Linked DNA regions of Stegostoma tigrinum. The main gene of each other region encodes a partner of the protein of the gene in region 2 in a complex. Links are inferred from orthologs where the notes say so. Each region holds a gene or a part of one and is shown on either strand. Other genes may lie near its edges.

Region 1 (7,661 bases), on a different chromosome or scaffold from region 2:
AGAAAACCTGCTGCCCAAGTGCGACACTAATAATTACTACCCAATTCCCCAATCATCAACAGGTCCACATCTTACTGACTCTGTCACTGACCATTTCATTCTCTGCTTGCAAAAGTACAAAGAGAAAACTGACCACAAAAGAAAAATTCTGAACAAATTTTATAAAGAAAAATCACCTCAGCAATGAGTCCAGTTCAGATTCCAAAAACCGTGGAGCCACTTTCTTCCACATAGTGCCTTCACTTTTAGGTGCCCAGTCAGACCTATTTCCGGCATGATGGCTAATATCTACTCCAATCACAATGCATTTTCCCTTTAAGAGGTACAGACTAGCTTTATTTGGTGCTGGCAAATTATGAATCTGGGGCCCCTAGTGATACATTGATTACAAGCAGCAACCATTCAAAGACTTGGCAGCAGAAACTTGGCAACTTGTCTGCATTATGTTGATTAACTTGTGCTCAATCACACATAATAATTCCTGTGCACTTCAGGGGCTATCCAATTTAGCCTCTTTACTCTTTTTGCTCATTTAATTTGAATGCATACAAACCAGTTGAAAAGTAAGAAATTATATAGGGAAGAATTTTCAACACCAGAAACAACAACAACAAAACCAGTTCCGAGGAAGGGTCACCAGACCCAAAACGTTAACTCTGTATCTTCCTTCACAGATGCTGCCAGACCTGCTGAGTTTTTCCAGAAACTTTGTTTTTGTTCCTGATCTACAGTATCCACAGTTCTTTCAATTTTTTATTAAGAATTTTCTACATTTAGTCCCTGATAGAAAGTGACACTATTTGTAGGTTGACAATGTAATTCATTAATTGCTGGACTTTATCCAGACCTGCAGTATTAATATCTACTTCTGGGTTCCCCACCCATTGGGGAGAGTGGAATGTTTGCATATCCATTTTGTTAAAGGTTTTCTAATTAAAGGGACCACAGTACGAGTGAGAAAATCTCACTAAGATTTGCATTTTTGAGTCTTCAGAAACACAGAAATGAACAAGGGACATGGGAAGGTTGCTCCATGAGTCTCTGACTCTAAACTTGAACGTCTACTGATTGAGATGAGGGGCTGCACTGAGAAAATCTCTTCCAAGAACTGGAGGAAGTGCTAAATCTCTCCACCTGGAAATGATTGAGGTAGTCCGTGGCAGATGTAGTTTCTCTACCTTGGACAAAATGTATTAAGGGAATTCAGGTCCACAGGAAGGCATGGCAGGTAAATGGTACAAACATTTTCAGATAACACCTGTGCTCTGACTTGCCTAGATTTCTTCTGCTCAATACTCTTCAGGAAAACACACAACACAGAGCCATACATTCCTCTCTCCAAAGGCATACTACATCTGAGCAGCCCACACCTCAAATTCTCCACGACCAATTGTCTTTTCACACCAGTGTCTCACAATTATTCTTACTCTCCTTCCACCCTTACTACTCAAACAGTTATACCTCTCTGCCTTCTCACATTGTAAGAGAGCACACAATGTGGCAGAAGACAGAGACCGAGGAGGGGATCGATGAGGTAGTGTTGTTGGTGGGTGTGTGGATGTACTTGGATGGCCTTGAGTAATAATTGCCTTATTGACCACAGGCAATAAATGCCCTGGATGTCTTCTTGTATGAAATCACAAGTGTCACCTGACTTGACAGCCCAAGTCTTCTGAGAGTCTCCCTGTCCTGTGATATTGCAGCAAGGCCCAAATCATGTTTTAGAGAGCTAGGTGAATTGTTAAGTAAAAACACATGATCAATCTAGCGTTCTGGACTAGTTTTATTGTATACAATAATAAGAATAACTTCCAGATCTTTCCATTCCAATGGTCTTGAATTATTTTTTTGCCACTCCCAGGAGTTGAAGTAGGTTGCTCTCACAGTCCCAGGGGCAGGCTTAACCTACCCAATGTTATTTTAATACTAGCATTTTCACATGCTTAAATGTTTGCAAAGATCTTTCTTCACTATAATAATGACTTTTAATCATACAAGGACATGGGTTGGTGTATGGTATGCATAATAATTTGTCAGCCTTTGACAAAAATGCAGTAAAATATTTAAGATCTCTTGAATTTTGTAAAAAGACTAAGAACATTATTGCTCAATTGCTTGGGTCAGTTACATCCTTCTGAAATAAGTAGTGTACAGGGAAATATATCGCTGGAAATAGGGTGACTAATCATCTGGGAATGAGATTTTTCATAATAGGAAAGGGAATTAAGACAGTAACACTACATGTGAATCAGAAATGTGACAACAAGCAAGAATATAATTCCAAAGAATGCTTTTTGACAATTCTGATTGATTGTTCAATGCTAAAGTGAAATTAATGTATTTTAGTTTCAACATATACCTCTAGATTATAAAGAAACAAATGAGATTGCCCTAGTAGAATCACCACCAAGTGATTTAGAGAGTTGATAGAAATGAAGCTATTTCGATTAACGTTTTTATTTGCAGTTCTTACTCCTTACAGATTGTTCACCTATGGCAAAGCTTCCCAAATTAAAATTCGAAACAAGCAAGCCGATATTATGCGGTCTCAAGCTCTGAAGCAGCAGCTGGTCAATCTAAAACTATGCGAGTTTTTTATAAAGATGCCTATACTGCCACTGGAACCACAAACGGCAGACACAGCCCACACAGTCTCTGCCAGAGACACCACAAACAATTTTCTGTCTCTAATAATAGGACTGAGAAAATGAGTGATTTTCAAATGTCCTAAATCAATTAAAATCCTAGGATCATGTTTTGCTCAATGCCACCTTCCTATGAATGGAGGGAGCAGTGCAGCAAGCAGAAGGGAGGCAGCAGAGTCAACAGTAGGGCAACTAGTGTGGGAGCAAGTGATGTAGTAGAGAGCAAGGTGCCAAGCACAGCACCAAATGGAATGAGTGGCAGGGGTTCCTCAGGCAGCACTATTCATTTACATGGGATTCTACTTCTAATTCTAAGCACTTACCAATGACGTGTGAGGTATTGACTTCCTGTTCACAGCAGTGGAAGGAGATACTGATTTTTTGTTTTAATTTGTCCAGAGGTTATTGGGCATTGTACTTATTTTGTATATTGATTGATATATTTTAGTTTGCACATTATTTCAGCTGGGAACAATGTTTCACCTTGTGCATTATTTTTCCCAAGACAAGAATGCTTTAAGGAAAATAACTTTAGATGTAACAATGATGAGACAGAGTAAAGTAGAAAAATAGACAGCTTAGTGGCATGATGTGAAAACAAAAGTCTTTCCCTCAATGTCTGCAAAAGAAGGAGCTGATCATTGACTTCAGGAAGCAGAGTGGAGGACACACCCCTGTCTGTATCAATGGTGCTGAGGTGGAGGTGGTGGAGAGTTTCAAGTTCCAAGGAGTAAATGTCACCAATGATCAATCCTGGTCCATCCATGTTGATGCTACAGTCAACAAAGCACACTAATGCCTGTACTTCCTCAGAAGGTTAAGGAAATTCAGCGTCCACAATGCTTCTTACCAATTTTTATAGGTGGGCCATAGAAAGCATCCTATCCAGATGCATCACAGCTTGGTATGGCAACTGCTCTACCCAAGACTGCAAGAGATTACAGAGTCATGAATGCAGCTTAGTCCATCATGAAAGCCAGCCTTCCTTCCACTGACACCGTCTAGACTTCTCACTCCCTCTGGAAAGCAGCCATAAAAATCATTTATTCTATCTTCTACCTCTTCCATCAGGTAGAAGACACAAGAGTTGAAGACACAAACTTAAGACAGCTTCTTCTCTGCAGTAGTCAGACTTATGAATGGATTTCTCATATATTAGAGATGATCTTTCTCTGAGCTTCTCTGTAGCTGTAACATTATATTCCGCATTCTGCTATTACTCTGACATATTTCTGTGAGGTGTGATTTGTCTGGTTAGCATGCAAAACAATACTTTTCACTGCATCTTGGTACATGTGTCAATAATATAATAAAATCAGCATTGATTCCAATGGGACTCTATAATTCACTTCACAAATTTAATTTATGATTTTTTTAAAGAAACACAACTTTGAGCGAGGACATATTATGTTTTACTTCCAGCACCAGGAGAGTCAAAACAGGAACAATAGCATAGACTACCCGTAGGCAGTCTCAATGAACTGGAGTAAGCTGAACTCAATAACGAAATTACAAAAAAAGTTATTTCTCCACCAAAACGCAGTGCATCGACGATAGCTACATAATACAGTGCATGTGGATAAAATTATAGCCCATCATTAACAAGAGTATAATCTCCTACTTTCACAATACGAACGTTTCTGTATCATCATTTCTACAGAACAAAAACCCTCAGTAACATCACTTTACGTAGAAACAAAAAAAAACTGCAGATGTTGGAATCCTAAGGTAGACAAACAGGAAGCTGGAAGAACACGCCAAGTCAGGCAGTATCTGAAAGAAAGGAGTAGTCAACATTTCCAACGTTGCCCATCGAAATTCCACTTCAGCATACCGTCACCGCGCAGTCGCTTTACCGTCACTTTACCGTCCGCCGTTTAAGCGCAGGCGCATAACCGTCCCTTTACCGCCTTCCATCATTGCGCAGTCGCATTACTGTCCCTTTACCGTCCTCCGTCATTGCGCAGGGGACAGCATGCAATGCTGTACGTTCTGGTTAATATCGTACACACCGGTTACACAAAACTGGTACAGCGACGGTTTAACATGAAGTGGATTGACGCTTCTACCTCTAGGTGGAGTATTTGATGGAGGGGAGCTGTTAAAAATCTGGACAGGGCGGCACAGGGCAAGGGGAAGGTGGTGATTGGCTACCAGTGGCCATGTGATATTAGGAGGTCATGACCCTGAGGTTGGTGAGTATGGGCAGTTTGAGGGAGGGGAGAGAGGGTTCTGGCCTAATGCTGACCTTCCAACACGATCACTGTGACTAGCAGAAAGTACATATTATTCTTCATATGTGGTTTAGCCGTGCCTTGCCCTAAGCCTGTATTTCCATTCCCTGCAATGGGAAATATATCTGAAATCCGGCTGCATCAGTAGTATGACATAAAATATGCCAGTTCTGGAAATGAGCCTTAATTATTTAACTGCAGTGAGTTATAAATATTTTTGCAAATATTATGTTCCATGTTCTTTGCTGAAAATAGCCTTTACGATTGTCTGTCATTTAGTTTTTCCATTTTGAGATCTGATGAACTGCTTTAAGTTTGCTTTTCAGTTTCACTGATGTCTAGGCTGTCACCTTTGTGTTTGCAAAGTAACTTATCACAGCTTGTCTTGATGCACCTTTTAAAAATAATTTCAACTGAAAATTAAAGCAAAATAGTGCAGATGATGGAAATCTGAAATAAAACCAGTTATGAAAAAATTCTTGGAACATTAACTTTTTCTCTCTGCACAGATGCTACCAGACCTCTTGAGTATCTCCAGCATTTTCTTGTTTTCTTATTGAATTGATTTAGTTAGGCCACTGCAGCAACAAATTGGAACATAGCATCCAAAATTTTGAAACAAAAACAAATTGTTGGAAAATTTCAGCATGTCTGGCAGCACCTGTGGAGAGAAATCAGAGTTAATGTTTTGGATCCAGTGACCCTTCTTCAGAACTGATAATAGCTAGGAAAATGTTTGTTTTTATGCAGAAAATGTGGTGGGAGAGAGGATAAGGAATAAACAGTAGGCAGTACAGTGGCTCAGTAGTGAACACTGGTGCCTCACAGCGCCAGGAACCCGGTTTCAATTCCAGCCGTGGGTGACTGTTTGGAGTTTGCACATTCTCCTTGTGTCTGTGTGAGTTTCCTCTGGGTGTTCTGGTTTCCTGCCACAGGCTAAAGGTATGCCGGTTAGGTGGATTGACCTTGCCAAATTGTCCATAGTGTCCAGGGATGTGCAGGTTAGGTGAATTAGACATGGGAAATGGTATCAGAGATAATGGGAACTGCAGATGCTGGAGATTCCAAGATAATAAAATGTGAGGCTGGATGAACACAGCAGGCCAAGCAGCATCTCAGGAGCACAAAAGCTGACGTTTCGGGCCTGGACCCTTCAGCTCTGATGAAGGGTCCAGGCCCGAAACGTCAGCTTTTGTGCTCCTGAGATGCTGCTTGGCCTGCTGTGTTCATCCAGCCTCACATTTTATTATCTTAGACATGGGAAATGCAGGGTTACAAGGATAGGGTAAAGGGATGGGTCTGGGTAGGGTCTCTTCAGAAGGTCAGATGGACCTGATGTGTGAAATGGCCCTCATCCGCACTCTAGCAATTCTACAACATGTAGAGATACAGCCCATAGAGGGAGAGAAGAAGAGTTGGACTGACAAAGGAGTGGATGCTGGTCAGCCTAGGAGAATGAATAGCTGCTAATGGGGTCTAGTAGTGGGTAACAATGGGTTGTGTGTAATAGCAGAGCATGTGATAATAAGGCCTGGTGTGTGTGGATTAGGGTAAGGTCATGGGAGAAGGTGCATGAAGCCCTAAAATTGTTGAACTCGATATTGAGTCAAGAAGGCTGTAGAGTTCCTAAGCAGAAAGTGAGGTGCTGTTCTTCTAGCTTGCGCTGAGATCAACAAGCCTTAGACAGATGTTGGCCAGGGAACAAGGCTGTATATTGAAATGGCAGGCAACTGGAACCTAAGGGTCTTTGTCTTGCAGACAAAACGTGGGAATTCTGCATTGCAGTCTACTTCATTTCTCCAATGTAGAGGAGATTGTGAGCAGTGACTACAGTAGACTGGATTGTGTGAAGTGCAGGTAAATGCTGCTTCACCTGGAAGGCATTTGGGTCCTTGGATAGTGAGGAGGAAGGAACTAAACAGGCAGGTATTCCACCTTCTGTAGTCGCAGGGCAAGATGCTGTGGGAGGTTTTGGGACTGGAGGAGGAGTGGACCAAGGTATCCTGGAGAAAATAGTCCTTTTAGAGGACTGACAAGGAAAATGAGGGGAATATCCAAAACTTGGAGTTTAACTCCATCCAACACACAACAGGCCTACCTTCATCTTTCTTCTAGAGGAAGGACAGCATCCAGTGTGACTTACAATTATTGTTTTGGTGTGTTAATTTCTGTTTGAATCACTGATACAAACAACACTTTAAGAATTTCATTCTCAAATCAAAATACTACTAATTGCTTTTAAATCAGTTTTTGTTTGACATTTTGGATCCATTTCTGCCTGCGAAATAGTAGAGGTACCTTCAGTAGGTTTGGCCATAAATCAGGCACCAAACCAGAATAATGCTTTAAATGGATACTCATCCAAACATGTGCAAAGTCTCTAATAATGAAATAAAGAGAGTTAAGTACCTGATTATTCAGATATCATAATCACTGACTGTAATGTGTATTTTACAACAGTACACTTTTCAAATGCAAACTGATCTAAAAATTTAAGATGGTCAGAAACAACTGTTTTCTTAAAATATATCTGCAGGGAGTGATGATGCATCATTGTCTTTCAGTTCTGAACTCTTGCTGTTTCATTTTCATAGATAGTGAATTTTGTCCCTGGCAAATTAGATATAAGTCTAACTTTTTTAAAATAGTGTGGAGAAAAGCGTGACAGGAATGAATTTTGAGGAAGATTTGATGCCCAGGCAATTGCCTGTGGATGACTGGGATACCATTGAAGACTTTGATCCTAGTGTGCCACCCAGAACACCCCAGGAATACTTGAAAA
Region 2 (8,093 bases):
GCATTACATTGAACCTGTAGCAATAACACAAACACACAGCCTTAGTCTCAGTCAAGTCAGTTGACCTCCTGATATGGTGAGGTTAGTGTGGCTACAAGTTTCTGTTCACCCTCTCTCTCTCACAATACCTTCAGGCACCATACAAAAATTAATTAACCAATGTATTTTAAAGTCAACTTGCTTTTGTAAACTAAAAGGATCCACATTCAGCAAGCTTCCTGCAGTAATCAGCCAAGGGAAGCATTTAAACTGCAAGTTTACAAACATTTGTTTCATGGGTTTACTCGAGAGTGGTGTTGCTTTCTGCACAAGAACATAATTTCACGCAAACTTTTTTCTGCAGTTTAGCAAATCTGGCACCGAAGAAGCTGCAACTCGTGCTCAAGTTATGCTGTACAGGAGCCATGACACAAATTATGGTCTTTAAAAAATGGAAAGAAACTTACCCTGCTCCATATTTACAGGTTATTTCCCCATACACTGTGCAATCTTTGATGGCTTGATCGTACAATTTAATTGGAAACTCCTCCAAACCTGTGAACTCTTAGAAAAAAATTGAACTTTTTAAACAAAGTTTTAACATCTCAATATGTAAAGAGTATCACCCCCACAAAAAATGACAGTTTTCTTGCTTATAAAACTCAGCGGCAATTGAAAGATGTAGTTGTCCTGCCTTCTAAATCATGATTGGAATGCAAAAATGGCAGCATGACTGAAATGTCAGTTCCTGAGAGTACCAAACCTATAGCGTTCCGTGACAGATCATTGTTAAACGAAGCAAATCATTTTGGTTTCACACTAACTGCAACTAGTAAAAGGTGCAATTCAAAAATGCAGATACCTGGACATAACGAAGTTGCTTTTGTCCTCACCTTCCATAGATCAGTCTCCATATTCAATTTATCATTGTACGCTATCCCAAATGTGATTCCACCACCAAAGCACCTTGCTGTACTTTCACATTCAGTATTCCAAAAGGATTGTCTTGCCTGCAACCCCAGATTCACTCTTCAAATTATCCCCAACACCTTCAGTCCTTCCACAGGCATTCTCCCAGGTAAGTGAAAGACTGTATCTGCCTTAAATAAATATAGAGAACACTGGAGAAACTCAGCAAGTCTGGCTGCATCAATGGTGAAAGACAAATACCATTTCGAGTCCAGTATGACTCTCCTTAAGAACTGCCTTTGTGCATTCCCACTCACCAAGATCCCAAACCCATTTTCCAGCTGAAAGACTGATTTGTACTTCTTTCAATTTAGTCTACAGGATTCACTGCACTTAGTGTAGTCTCTTCTTCACCAGTAAGAGCAAAAGCAGATTGGGTGACTGTCTTTCCAAATACCACGTTGTCCACACAACCCCAAAATTCTGGCTACCTGCCATTTTAATTCACCAACATAGTTTCAATTGTCTGCGGTTTTCTGCAGTTGTCCAGAGAAGCTGAAGGCCAGTATCTTTTCTTCCAAGTGCTTTACAGTCTTCCATACTCAACATCGAGTTTAACCACTTCAGATCATATATGTTTTCCCACTATTAGGGAGGTGGTGGCCTAGTAGTATGGTCGCTTGATTGTTAATCCAGAGACTCAGACAACATTCTGGGATTGAAGATCCACCACAACAGATATTGGAAATTAGTTCAATAAAAATATCTGGAATTAAGAATCTAATGATGACCATGAATCCATTGTCAATTGTCAGGAAAAGCCCATCTGGTTCACTAATGCCCTTTAGGAAAGGAAACTGCCATCCTTACCTGATCTGGCCTACATGTGACTCCGGACCCACAGAAATGTGGCTGACTCTGAGCAATTAAGGATGGGCAACAAATGCTCATAGCCAGCGGTGCCCTCATCCCGTTAATGAATACAAAATAACTGTTTCAGACTGCAGTTATGGACAATAATCCTGCTATTCCCATTTATACTTCCTCTAGACAAGCTTTTCATTTCTTCACTCTTATCCCTGTCTCTGTACTCAAATGAAAACCCATTACGTCTCTGGTTGTTTTTGTTTTTGGCAAAATGTCATCAACCTGAAACATTACATCTGTTCCTCTGTCCGCAGGTGCTGGAGTACCCGCTGAGAATCCCCGACACTTTCCCATTATTTTATCCCAAATATGGAGAGCTTGGTAATAATTGCACCTTGAAGTGAGACTCTAATTAAATAAAAACAGTGTATGCTGGAGTGGGTTTGTCAACATCTGTGGCGATAGAAATAGAGTTAACACATTTGAATCCAATGACTTTGAGATAACAAGGGGTAGAGCTGGATGAAGACAGCAGGCCAGGCAGCATCAGAGGAGCAGGAAAGCTGACATTTTGGGCCTGGACCCTTCTTCAGATGCTGCCTGGCTTGTTGTGTTCATCCAGTTCTATACCTTGTTACCTCAGATTCTCCAGCATCGGCAGCTCCCACTATCTCTGAATCCAATGACTCCTCTTCTTTCAGATCTCTAACAGCCACCGTATTTTGTTTGAGACTATAACTAGTGGACAAATCAAACGTCAGACACCACAACCAACAGATAACAATATTATTGCAGCAAATTTGGCCTTTTGAACGTTTAAGTACAGCAACTGCTCCAAAAGATTTCGAAAACACACACATTTCCTATTATATTGAAGTCACTGTGTGGCTGTTTCGTGCTTTCTTCACACCATGCTAATGCAACTTAAGTAAAATCATACATTTTAATTGCATCAAAACCACAAGCAAGCAAATTTAACGTTTTGATGAGATCAAATTTCCTCCTGAAGGCTATTTAACCAAGATAAAAAGAACAGGGGCGGTGTACGTTTGTGATTAAGTTGCAGGAAGGCCTGAGGCCCTTAATGAGATGTACAGCTTCCAGGAGTATCTTCGGTTTCCCCGCCGCCGCCGCCACCACCATCATCATCATCATCATCATCATCATCCCTATCCTCTACCCTCCAAACCCATACAGCAAGAAGACCTCCTCCCTTCTTCCAACTCACTCATTCATTCAGTGCCTCCATCACTCAGTCGCTCTCCATCATACAACAGGCAACCTCGCCAAAGCAGACGCGTTCCCAGGGACACGAAAAGAAAGCCAGGCGCCGCCGCTGCCGCCCCCTAGGCAGGATGAGTAACTGCGCCGCATTGCATATGGCCTCTGCTGAGAAGCATGCACATTGCTGAGCGACAGAGTATGTTTCTAAGGGTGTGGAACAGCACCTCTGAGCGGGTTGGTATAGAATCTTTTTGATGATGGAAGTTGCTAACATTTTTTTGAAACAGTTCTTTGTGTCGCTGAGCTGGCAGGTGCAAGTTCACGTCCCAGCTCCAGAGGTGTGTAATAACAGGAACAAAAGCAAAGTTGCTGGAAAAGCTCAGCTGGTCTGGCAGCATCTGTGGAGGAGAAAACAGAGTTAATGTTTCGGATGACAAAGTGTGAAGCTGGATGAACACAGCAGGCCAAGCAGCATCTCAGGAGCACAAAAGCTGACGTTTCCAGCCTAGACCCTTCATCAGAGGGGGATGGGGAGAGGGTTCTGGAATAAATAGGGAGAGAGGGGGAGGCAGACCGAAGATGGAGAGAAAAGAAGATAGGTGGGGAGGGGATAGGTCAGTCCAGGGAAGACGGACAGGTCAAGGAGGTGGAATGAGGTGGTAGGTAGGAAATGGAGGTGTGGCTCGAGGTGGGAGGAAGGGATGGGGTGAGAGGAAGAACAGATTAGGGAAGCAGAGACAGGCTGGGCTGGTTTTGGGATGCAGTGGGTGGAGGGGACGAGCTGGGCTGGTTTTGTGATGCAGTGGGGGAAGGGGAGATTTTGAAGCTTGTGAAGTCCACATTGATACCATTGGGCTGCAGGGTTCCCAAGCGGAATATGAGTTGCTGTTCCTGCAACCTTCGGGTGGCATCATTGTGGCACTGCAGGAGGCCCATGATGGACATGTCGTCTGAGGAATGGGAGGGGGAGTTGAAATGGTTTGCAACTGGGAGGTGCAGTTGTTTGTTGCGAACCGAGTGGAGGTGTTCTGCAAAGTGGTCCCCAAGCCTCCGCTTGGTTTCCCCAATGTAGAGGAAGCCACACCGGGTGCAATGGATACAATATACCACATTGGCAGATGTGCAGGTGAACATCTGCTTGATGTGGAAGGTCATCTTGGGGCCTGGGATGGGGGTGAGGGAGGAGGTGTGGGAGCAAGTGTGCACTTCCTGTGGTTGCAGGGGAAGGTGCCGGGTGTGGTGGGGTTGGAGGGGAGTGTGGAGCGGACAAGGGAGTCGCGGAGAGAGTGGTCTCTCCGGAAGGCAGACAAGGGTGGGGATGGAAAAATAGCTTGTGTGGTGGGGTCGGATTGTAGATGGCAGAAGTGTCGGAGGATGATATGTTGTATCCGGAGGTTGGTGGGGGGTCCGGTGACCCTTCCTCAGAACTAATAACAATTAATATCAGTGTAATAACATCTCTGAACAGATTGATTAGAAAATATCAACATTATTCTCTTGGTAATGCAAGTTGCAAACAATTTGTATTTTAAGGGTTATGTGGCACAGTGGTAGTACCCCTGCCTCTGAGCCAGGAGTCCGAGGTTCAAGTCCTGTCTGTTCCAGAGGTGTTTGAACAGGTTGTTTGAAAAGATCTGTCCTCACAACAGAAGAGATATGCCTGGAGAAATTCAGCAGGTACGGCACTCCTGTGGAGAGAGAAATAGAGTTAACATTTTATGTGCTGTCTTCAGAACTGTATTCATTTCAGATTTTCAACATCTGCAGTGTTTTGCTTTTATTACATGAAATGTGCAGCAAGATTCTAACAACATCTGACTGAAAATAACCATGTATAGGATTTGGGTGTGGATGACTGTACCAGCACTTAATGCCCATCCCTAATTGCCCTGAAAACAAGTGGCTTGCTAAACCATTTCAGCGGGCAGTTAGGAATGAAACCTTTGCTCTGGATCTGAAATCACACCTCGGCCAAACCAGGTAAAGTAGTGGATTTCCTTCCATAAAGGGCATTAGTAAGATGTATCCTGTGGATAACCCTGAGGTGTTTTTATTGTACTTTAAAGGTGCTGTGTAGATGTAAGTTTTTTGTGTCAAAATTGACTTTTTCATTATTAAATATATACTTATTATTATACAGGTTTTCTTACGTCAAGTTCAAGATGGCTGATAAAATAAAACAGAGAGGAAAAGAGATTCTGACCTCGAGCCACTCCCCTGTCTCCAGGTGGCCCCTCCCACTAAGGGGCCTACTAAGTGAGCCAGTCTTAACAACACCCACCTTTCTCGCAGCATCACTCCTTGAAGCTGGGACTCAGGTGTGCCAGCAGTAGGCACAAACTTCTGTGGTGCGACTGAATGTTGGAACTGCCGGCTAGATGACTACAGGCAGGATGCCATGTTCCAGGGTTCTCAGTCAGGAGGAACACCTGCTCATGTCCTCTTATGTGCCGAATGGCTTGAAGTTCCTTCTAAGAGTAACTGCCTCTCCCCCAAAGTGAGAGAATGAGAATGTGAGCTAAGAGAGGGAGACAAAAGCGAAACTTAAAATTTATGACAAAAAAAATAAGCTTTAGGAACAATTTACAACCAACTGGACTGAGAGTCCACAGCTTAAATTCTTTCTATTTCCAGACTGGAGAGGTTAGGTTTCATGTCAGACCTATAATCTCAGCACTAACAGTATCCTTATGTCATTAATTACAAGACCTCAGTGAGATTTATTCTTACTCACAGTACAAGTCCAGCAGTTTCTTGATTCTCACAGAGGGACTGATCTCAAGCTTTGTTTTATGAGAATAAATAGCTGAATTGTGCAAAGCATCCAGCAATTTATGACAATTCACATCTTGTGGCATAGCCCTTCTGACATCATGAATTGTCAGCTTATAGCAACATAGAAGATAGGAGCAGAGCGAGGCCATTCGGCCCTTCGAGCCTGCTCCGCCATTCTGCACAATCATGGATGATGGCCCAACTCAGTAGCCTAATCCTGCTTTCTCCCCATAACCTTTAATCCCATTTGCCCCAAGTGCTAAATCTAGCCACCTCTTGAAAACTTCCAATGTTTTGGCATCAACTACTTCCTGTGGTAATGAATTCCACAGGCTCACCATACTTTGGGTGAAGAAATATCTTCTCAATTCCATCCTGAATTGTCTACCCCAAATCCTCATATTGTGAGCCCTGGTTCTGGATATACCCACCACTGAGAGCATCCTCCCTGCATCTCCCTATCTAGCCATGTTAGAATTTTATAAGTCTCTGTGAAATTTCCCCCTCATTTGTCTGAACTCCAACAAAAACAGTCCCAATCTAGTCCATCTCTCCTCTTATGTCAGATCTGTCAGCCCTGGAATCAGCCTGGTAAACATTCGCTGCACTCCCTGAAGAGTGAGAGCATCCTTCCTTAGAAAAGGAGACCAAAACTGCACACAATATTCTAGGTGTGGCCTCACCAAGGCTTTGTATAACTGCAACTCCTGGACTTGAAACCTCTCACAATGAAGGCCAACATCCCATTTGCCTTCTTTACCACCTGCATGCTTACCTTCAGCGATTGGTGCACAAGGACACCCAGGTCCCACTGCACACTTCCCTCCCAATTTATAGTCATTCTGGTAATAATCTGCCTTCTTGTTTTTGCTTCTGAAATGAATAACCTCACATTTATCCAAATTATACTGCATCTGCCATTGATTTGCACACTCACCCAACCTGTCGAGATCATGTTGAAGGATCTCTGCATCCTTGTCACAGTTCACCCTCCCACCCCACTTGGAATCATTTGCAAACTTGCAGATGTTACATTTTGTTCCCTCATCCAAATCATTAATATACATTGTGAATAGCTGGGGTCCCAGCACCAATCCTTGAGGCACCCCACTGGTTACTGTTTGCCAATTTCAAAAGGACCCATTAAACCCTAGTAGAGATAATAGGAACTGCAGATGCTGGAGAATCCGAGATAACAAGGTGTAGGGTCTAGGCCCGAAATGTCAGCTTTCCTGCTCCTAAGATGTTGCTTGGCCTTCTGTGTTCATCCAGCTCTACACCTTGTTATCATTAATTCCTATTGTTTGTTTCCTCTTTGCCACTCAGTTTTCAATCCATCTGAATACACTTCCCCCAATCCTATGTACTTTAATCTTGCACATTAATTTTTTTATGTGGGACTTTGACAAATGCTTTCTGAAAGTCCAAAAATAGTACAAGGACTGGCTTCCCCCTTGACAACTCTACTAGTTGCATCTTCATAGAATTCCAACAGATTTGTCAAGCATGATTTCCTCTTTATAAATGCATGCTGACTCTGTCTGATCCTGCCACTGCTTTCTAAATGCTTTACTATGAAGTCCTTGATAATGGATTTGAGAATTTTACCCCCCTACCATATACATTAATATTATGTATACATTAATATTGGCAACCGCGGTAAGGTCGTAATTAATAATAAAGACACCATAAACTCTTAGTTGGTTTGGTTAGACTACAATTAGAGCAGTGTATACAGTTATGGTCACCAAACTCTAGGAAGGATGAGGGTCCAAGTTTCGCTGCTGGTGCAGTGAAAATTTGCCAGGATGGTTCCCAGGATGATGAATTTTGGTTGTAGGGTTGGTTCAGGGCAGTGGAGTTGTTTCCTTGGTGCAGGAGAGGTTAGATACATATGCACAAGTTTGTGACAGTTGTATTAGAGAGGGCAAATAAATACAAACTATTCCCATTTGCTGATGGCCCAAGTGTTAGAGTCATAGATAAAGTCATAAAGATGTACAGCATAGAAACAAATCTTGCAGCCCATCTCATTCACACCAACCCAGATATCCTAATTTAAATATAGTCCAATTTTCAAGCATTTGGCCCATATCCCTCTAAACTCTTCTTATTCATATGCCCATCCAGATGACTTTTAAATGTTATACCTGACTCCACTACTTCCTCTAGCAACTCATTCCATACACACACCACCTTCTGCGTGAAAACATTGCCCCATAGGTCCCTTTTAATTCTTTCCCCTCTCAGCTTAAACCTATGCCCTCTAGTTTTGGACTCCCTCACCCCAGGGAAAAAAGACATTATTCTATTTACCTTATCCATGCCCTTTATGATTT
Region 3 (7,936 bases), on a different chromosome or scaffold from region 2:
ATCAGTGATAATGGGAACTGCAGATGCTGGAGAATCCAAGATAACAAAGTGTGGAGCTGGATGAATACAGCAGGCCAAGCAGCATCTCAGGAGCGCAAAAGCTGACGTTTCGGGCCTAGACCCTTCATCAGAGGTCTGCTGTGTTCATCCAGCTTCACACTTTGTTATCTAAGACTGAAAATGTAGTTGTCTCCAAATACCTTGCAGACTCTTGAGACTCAACATTGTGTTCAATAGAGATAATAATGTGTAGAGCTGGGTGAATACAGCAGGCCAAGCAGCATCAGAGGACCAAGAAAGCTGATGTTTCGGGTCTGGACCTTCTTCAGAAATGTGGAAAGGGTAGGGGATTCTGAAATAAACAGGGAGCGGGGGGGAGGTGGATGGAAGATGTATAAAGGAAAAGATAGGTGGAGAGGAAATGTATCGATCAAAGAAGTGAGGAAGGAGCCAGTAAAGGTGAGTGTAGGTGGGGAATTAGGGTTGGATTTGGTCAGTCCAGGGAAGTTGGACAGGTCAAGGAGGCAGGGATGACGCTGGTAATTAGGAGGTGAGGGTAGGGATTGAGGTGGGAGGAGCGGATAGGTAGGAGAAAGGACAGGCAGGTTAGGGAGGTGGGGACAGGTTTGGCTAGATTTGGGATGCAGTAGGGGGAGGGGTGATTTTGAAACTTGTGAAGTCCACAATGCCATTGGGCTACAGGGTTCCCAAGCGGAGTTTGGGGTGCTGTTCGTGCAACCTTCGGTTGGGAATGTTGTGGCACTGCAGGAGGGCCAGGATGGACATGTTGTCCAAGGAATGGGAGGGGGAGTTGAAATGCTTCACAACTGGGAGGTGCAATCATTTGTCACGAACCAAGAGTAGGTGTTCTGCAAAGCAATCTCCAAGCCTCCATTTAGTTTCCCCGATGTAGAGGAGACCTCATCAGGAACAGTGGATACAATATACCTTGTTAGCAGATGTGCAGGTGAACATCTGTTTGATGTGGAAGGTCTTCTTGGGGCCTGGGATGGGGGTGAGGAGGGAGGTGTAGGGGGAGATGTAGCAATTCCGGCGGTTGCAGGGAAAAGTGCCAGATGTGGTGTAGCTAGTGGGGAGTGTGGAGTGGACAAGGCAGTCAAGGGAGTTCAATAACTTTGGAGCCTGACTCCATCTTTCCACATTTTTTACACCCACCTCCACATCCTGGTTCTGTCATGACATGCGCAGCCAACACATTCTCACCCACTCTTAGTCCTATTATCACATGAAATGATTTGCTTTCAGCACAGCCTACCCATTATTACCTACTCTCTGCTCTCATTACCACTTAATCATCTTCCCTGGTGTCCTGGCCTATTATCAATAACCCCCTCTCCTACCTAGCCCTTTCAAATCTCTCTCTCTTTGGATTCCATCTTCAGCTATCCACTCGCCTCTCCCCCACCACCTCCCAACAATACCTCCTCATCTACTCTGTTGTCTTCAGTGTAAATACCACTTTTACCTGATTTTACCTGATACCTGGCTGCTATCAGTTCTGGTTTACTTCAGGTTTATATGGAGTTTTGACTTCAGAGAACAAGAACACTGCTCCTGGGCTGTGGAAGAACGGAAAACTTCTCTCCATCTGTAACTTAGTCCTAGCTCCAAGCAGTTCAGTTATCTGTAAAGCAATCATAATGCTGTTGGCAGGCAAAAATGTCTCTGTCATTGACAACTGGTCCATAGACCAATTAACTTCTTGTTGCCAGCAAGAGCTGCATTATTACATTCCCTCTGTACCTTTAAGCATCGGAGTTTGGAGGTCATGTGGAGGTTGTTCAGGACATTGGTGAGACCTCTTTAGGAGTACTGTGTGCAGTTCTGGTCCCCCTGTTATAGGAAGGATGTGTTATTAAACTGGACAGGTCTCAGAAAAGATTTACCAGGATGTCGCCAGGAATGGAGGGTTTGAATTATATGGGGAACCTGGACAGGCTGAGATTTTTTCATTGGAACTTGAGAGATTCAGGGGTGATCTCATTTAGAGGCTTATAAAATCGTGACGGGTATAGATAACGTGAAAGGCAGGTGTCTTTTCCCTAGGGTGGGGGCTTCAATATTAGCGAGCATGTTTTTAAAGTGAGAGGAGAATGGTTTAAAACAGACTTGAGGAGCAGAGTGGTTTGTGTGTACAGCGAGCTTCCAAAGGAAGTGATGGATGCAGGTGCAGTTACAATGTTTAAAAGACTTTAGATAAGTTCATGAATAAGAAATGTTTGGAGAGATATGGGCCAAACACAGGCAGATGGGACTAGGATAGTTTGGGTTTACAGTCAGCATGTACTTGTTGGACTGAATGGTCTGTTTCCATGCTGTATGGCTCCATGACGACAGGTTTGCAATTATTGCTTGTTTAGACAGATGTGTGAATGATGCCAAATGTGAGCATCAGGTTACATGCTTTTCAGAACTGTTCCAAACAATAGTTTTTAAAGCAGCTCTTTTTCCATGTCCACGTCTTTTTATCTGGAATGCATTAATGACTTTAGGATATGTGAAAACATTTCATCACCAAATATTTATTTTTAAAGATTGATCATTGTTCCTTTGTGGGAATTATAGCAGTCAATTTGCTCCAATCGAGGTTCCAGAATCAGCATTGTCACAATGACATCATGATGTTTTTGTAATGATGTTTGAAAAATTGGGCCAGAAGTTCAGGGAGAATGTTATAGCTTGATTTAATTGCCCATAGTTACATTACAACCATAAGAGTGGGCAGACTTCACCTCTGATCTGAAAGACAGCGTCTCCTTAAGCATTATACCGGAGTATCAGCGTGGAATCCACCCAGTGCAGGGAGGGGTGGACATGTCAGAGGTCCTTCTGGAGGGTCTGATTCTGGGCCTGGCCAAAGTGGCCATCAGCAGGTTCAGGCAGTGTTCCCAACTGTTGGCCCCTCTTTCACACTTACATCTGTGCTCGGCTGTCCCTGGGGATGGAGCCTGCAGTGCTCACAGGAACATTTGAGTCCTTTGGAGACCTATGGGCAACACATAGGCTAGGGTGCGTCATCAGACTGGACAACGTTAATTTAGTTTGGTAAGATTCTATATTATATATTAATCTGTTATATAAGATTCTGTTCAACTGTTAAATTTGTGTTTTATTTCAACAATGTTTCATTTTTAATTTTGATGTCCTGTTTTGAAAAGTGTGGAGAGAGCTTTGCTCAGTGCTATCCCTGTCCTGGGAGTGTTTGATGGGGGCATTGCTGTCAGTTTAAAAAAGTCCAGTGAACTTTATTTTTGCTTACTTCTAGTCTAGAAAAGTAGAGGTAGGCTTATTCAGTAGCAAACCCCATGTCCTGCGGGTGCTTGGTGGGAACAATGTTGAGTGAGTTTTACTTTTAATTTAAAAGAGTAGAATCTGTGCTCAAGTCTTTGGAGTGGAGCTTGAACTCAGTATATTTTGACCTAGACTGTAAATGGTTGACACCCAGTTGCAGCATGTCCTCATATATGTGACAGTGTTCCACAGTTAATGAAGCACCTTTCAAAACATAGGTATGGTTAGTAAGTTTTCAGATGACACCAAAATTGGAGGTGAAGTAAACAGCAAAGAAGGTTACCTCAGAGTACAATGGGATCTTGATCAGATGGTCCAATGGGTGAGGAATTGCAGATGAAGTTTAATTTAGATAAATGTGAGGTGCTGCATTTTGGAAAGGCAATCAGGGCAGGACTTACACACTTGAGAGTAATGTCCTGGGGAGTGTTGCTGAATAGAGACCTTGGAATGCAGGTTCATAGTTTCTTGAAAGTGGAGTCACAGGTAGACAGGATAGTGAAGAAGGCGTTTGGTATACTTGCCTTTATTGGTTCGTGCATTGAGTATAGGAGTTGGGAGGTCATGTTGCGGCTGCACAGGACATTGGTTAGAACACTTCTGGAATGCTGTGTACAATTCTGGTCTCCCTGCTGTAGGAAGGATTTTGTGAAACTTGAAAGGGTTCAGAAAAGATTTACAAGGATGTTACCAGGGTTGGAGGGTTTGAGCTATAGGGAGAGGCTGAATAGACTGAGGCTATTTTCCCTGGAGCATCAGAGGCTGAGGGGCGAACTTATAGAGGTTTATAAAGTCATGAGGGGCATGTACAGGGTGGATAGACAAGGCCTTGACCCCTGAGGGGAAGGGCAAGGGATTGGAGGAGTCCAAAACTAGAGGGCATAGATTTGAGGTGAGCAGGGGAAGATTCAAAAGGGACCTACAGGGCAACCTTTTCACACAGAGGGCGGTGTGTGTATGGAATGAGCTGTCAGAGAAAGTGATGGAGGCTGGTACAATTACAATATTAGAAAGGCATCTGGATGGTTGGCTATAAAATAGGGTGGGATTAGAGGGATATGGGGCAAATATTAGCAAACGAAACTAGATTTATTTCGGATATGTGGTTGGCATGGACAAGTTGGACTGACGGGTCTGTTTCCGTGATGTGCAGCTCAATGACTGTAATTACAGTCACAGGTGGGAGTGCAGGAGTATATTGACATAAAGAGAACACCTTTTCTCACTTTTGAACAATGGCATAGAATTTTTTTATAGGCACTTAAGACCCCAAAATGGTTTGGCCAGTCATCTTAAAGACAGCGAAAAATGATAATTCTATCAAAAAAAAGTTTCTTTTTTGCCTGGCAAACGTAAACAAGATAATGTTTGAGGGTATTTAGTAGAATATTGTACGGAGTTCTACTTGGTTGGTACAGATATGGATGGGCTGAATGGCCTGATCCTTTACTCGAAAGGCGAATGATAGTTTGCACATTGGGAATTGGACGAAATTTATGAATGGAGCCCAGTCAATGAAACTGCGCATGTGCGACCGCTGCGTTTCCCACGAGCCGCCACGCGTGGCGTTTGGCGTCACTTCCGCTACAGCTAACGGGGAGTCTGGAGGTTCGGGAGAGGGAACCAGCCCAGACCGGACTGGGAACACGCGACACCGGGATTAACGGACCGGTAAGGGGGCCGGGAAGGGGATAGCAGACCGACAGCAGCACGGCGGACACCCAGTAGTAAAACACAGTTTGGGGTGAGGTGGAAGCACCACTGGGAATGGCCCACCTGGAGTGACGCACCGGGAAAAGTGTGATCAACACCTGGGAATACAGTAAGATACACAGGGGACCAGGAACACACGCTGAGACGCTCCATTGGTGGGACCTGGAACAATACCGAGAATATACCAGTAAGATATACCAGGAAGACACTGATAAGACACACCAGGGGGTACTAGGAAACCATACCAGTAAAATATGGCGCCAGAAATAACTTGGGGCAGGGTTGGTTGGGGAAGAGGACCGGGAACACTACTTGGAATAACACACTGCCAACACTCACCGTTGTTAATTGTGACAGTAAGGTACACCAGGGGAACTAGAAACGCACCCTAGGAAAATACTGGTAAGGCACACCATTGTGAAAACACATCAGTAAGACTTACAAGTGAGACAGCAGGAATGCACATTACTGAGATGCACTGGAGAAAAAAAATTGGTGAGCCACTCTAGGAGGGAGACTGGATGTATACCAGGCACGTGCACCAGGAAAATACTGGTAAGATATGGAAGGGTAAGGCACGCCAGGTAAATTCTGGGAGATAAGTAAGAACCACAATAAAGGAGTAAAAATACCAGGGGAATAAGAAAGAAGCACCAATTAAAAGGGGACCTGGTAAAAGTGTGAAAATACCAAGTAAGAAACACAGGTTGAAAACACTGAGTAAATGGTTTAAAATTCCAGAGGGGAGAAAACCAACTTAAAATGATGAAACGTCAGGGACTGGATATGAAACAACTGGTTTATAACATTTGAGGACTGGGTTAAAAACGATCAAATAAAAGTATTGGGTAATAAACACCAGGTAAAAATGTAAAAACCATCAGGGGATGGTGAGAATTTCCAGGTGAAAGTACTCTATTTGCTTTCTTCCTATGTCCTTTGATCACTTTAGGCCTAAGAACTATCTAAGTCCTTAAAATGTTCAATGTTTTGGCCTCAACCACTTTGTGGCAAAAAAATTCTACAGGTTTGCCACTGTCTAGCTGGAGAAATTACTCCTTATTTTAGAATCTGTTGTTAAGAAAGTAATGAGAGGAATTTTAAGTCAAAATAAATCATGTTTGACTAATTGCTAGAATTATTTGAAGATGTAACAAGTAGTGTGGATAAGGGGAGGGGGAAGGGGGTTCTGAAATAAGTAGGGAGAGAAAGGGAGGTGGTTAGAAGATGGATGGTGGAGAGGATTTGCTTTGGGAGAGACCCCCACTGAGGTTTTTCCGGAGGGAGAAAGGTAACTTCTTCGGAGTAGGCATCCTAAGAAGAGGCTTCGCAGTGCGATTAAAATTGTTTGAGATAGTAGGAACTGCAGATGCTGGAGAATCTGAGAAATACAAGGTGTGGAGCTGGATGCGGGTCTAGGCCTGAAACATCAGCTTTCCTGCTCCTATGATGCTGCTTGGCCTGCTGTGTTCATCCAGCTCTACTCCTTGTTCTCGTAGTACTATGTCTAGACTTCCAGAAGACATTTGATAAGGTGTTGCGTAAAAGCATAATAATATGCAAGCTGAGTTCACATGGGTTAAGGGTAATTTATTTGTTTGTATAGAGGATTGGTTAACAGCAGTAAGCAGAGTTGAACCTCTGTCTCTATCTCAGGCAACCAGCTTGAAACTGATGTCCATTTCAAGCCCACCGAATCCCACAGCTACTTAGAATACACCTCCTCCTACCCACCCTCCTGCAAAAGTTCCATCCCCTATTCCCAATTCCTCCGTCTCCGCCGCATCTGCTCCCCTGATGAGGCATTCCACTCGCGCACATCCCAGATGTCCAAGTTCTTCAAGGACCGCAACTTTCCCCCCCACAGTGGTCTACAACACCCTTGACTGCATCTCCCACATTTCCCGCAACACATCCCTCACACCCCGCCCACGCCACAACCGCCCAAAAAGGATCCCCCTCGTTCTCACATACCACCCCCCCAACCTCTGGATACAACGCATCATCCTCCGACACTTCTGCCATCTACAATCCGACCCCACCACCCAAGACATTTTTCCATCCCCACCCTTGTCTGCTTTCCAGAGAGACCACTGTCTCCGTGACTCCCTTGTTCGCTCCACACTGCCCTCCAACCCCACCACACCTGGCTCCTTCCCCTGCAATGCAGGAAGTGCTACACTTGCTCCCCCACCCCCACGCCCCAAGATGACTTTCCATATTAAGCAGAGGTTCACCTGCACATCTGCCAATGTGGTATACTGCATTCATTGTACCTGGTTTGGCATCCTCTACATTGGGGAAACCAAGCGGAGGCTTGGGGACCGCTTTGCAAAACACCTCCGCTCGGTTCGCAATAAACAACTGCACCTCCCAGTCGCAAACGATTTCCACTCCCCCTCCCATTCTTTAGATGATATGTCCATCATGGTCCTCCTGCAGTGCCACAATGATGCCACCCGAAGGTTGCAGGAACAGCAACTCATATTCCGCTTGGGAACCCTGCAGCCCAATGGTATCAATGTGGACTTCACCAGCTTCAAAATCTCCCCTCCCCCACTGCATCCCAAAACCAGCCCAGTTTGCCCCCTCGCCCCCTCGCCCCCTGCACCACACAACCAGCCCAGCTCTTCCCCTCCACCCACTGCATCCCAAAACCAGTCCAACCTGTCTCTGCTTCCCTAACCTGTTCTTCCTCTCACCCATCCCTTCCTCCCACCCCAAGCCGCACCTCCATCTCCTACCTACTACCCTCATCCCACCTCTTTGACCTGTCCGTCTTCCCTGGACTGACCTATCCCCTCCCTACCTCCCCACCTATACTCTCCTCTCCACCTATCTTCTTTTCTGTCCATCTTTGGTCCACCTCCCCCTCTCTCCCTATTTATTCCAGAACCCTCACCCCCATCCC

The links.
Region 1: gemin4 (region 2) and gemin2 share a complex: the UniProt entries of both Homo sapiens proteins name them as parts of the SMN-Sm complex. The link is inferred for Stegostoma tigrinum from reciprocal best matches to the Homo sapiens genes GEMIN4 and GEMIN2.
Region 3: gemin4 (region 2) and strap share a complex: the UniProt entries of both Homo sapiens proteins name them as parts of the SMN-Sm complex. The link is inferred for Stegostoma tigrinum from reciprocal best matches to the Homo sapiens genes GEMIN4 and STRAP.

The regions. Positions count from the first base shown.
Region 1 is NC_081363.1:55,507,825-55,515,485, forward strand, and holds the start of gemin2 (gem-associated protein 2), read left to right. Parts: upstream 1-4,581; 5' UTR 4,582-4,625; coding exon 4,626-4,720; intron 4,721-4,726; exon of another isoform or gene 4,727-4,840; intron 4,841-4,846; exon of another isoform or gene 4,847-5,079; intron 5,080-7,527; coding exon 7,528-7,661. UniProt on the Homo sapiens protein: The SMN complex catalyzes the assembly of small nuclear ribonucleoproteins (snRNPs), the building blocks of the spliceosome, and thereby plays an important role in the splicing of cellular pre-mRNAs.
Region 2 is NC_081380.1:34,515,336-34,523,428, reverse strand, and holds the start of gemin4 (gem-associated protein 4), read right to left. Parts: upstream 3,075-8,093; 5' UTR 2,984-3,074; intron 544-2,983; 5' UTR 457-543; coding exon 447-456; intron 1-446. UniProt on the Homo sapiens protein: The SMN complex catalyzes the assembly of small nuclear ribonucleoproteins (snRNPs), the building blocks of the spliceosome, and thereby plays an important role in the splicing of cellular pre-mRNAs.
Region 3 is NC_081378.1:42,720,704-42,728,639, forward strand, and holds the start of strap (serine-threonine kinase receptor-associated protein), read left to right. Parts: upstream 1-4,868; 5' UTR 4,869-4,983; intron 4,984-5,082; exon of another isoform or gene 5,083-5,212; intron 5,213-7,936. UniProt on the Homo sapiens protein: The SMN complex catalyzes the assembly of small nuclear ribonucleoproteins (snRNPs), the building blocks of the spliceosome, and thereby plays an important role in the splicing of cellular pre-mRNAs.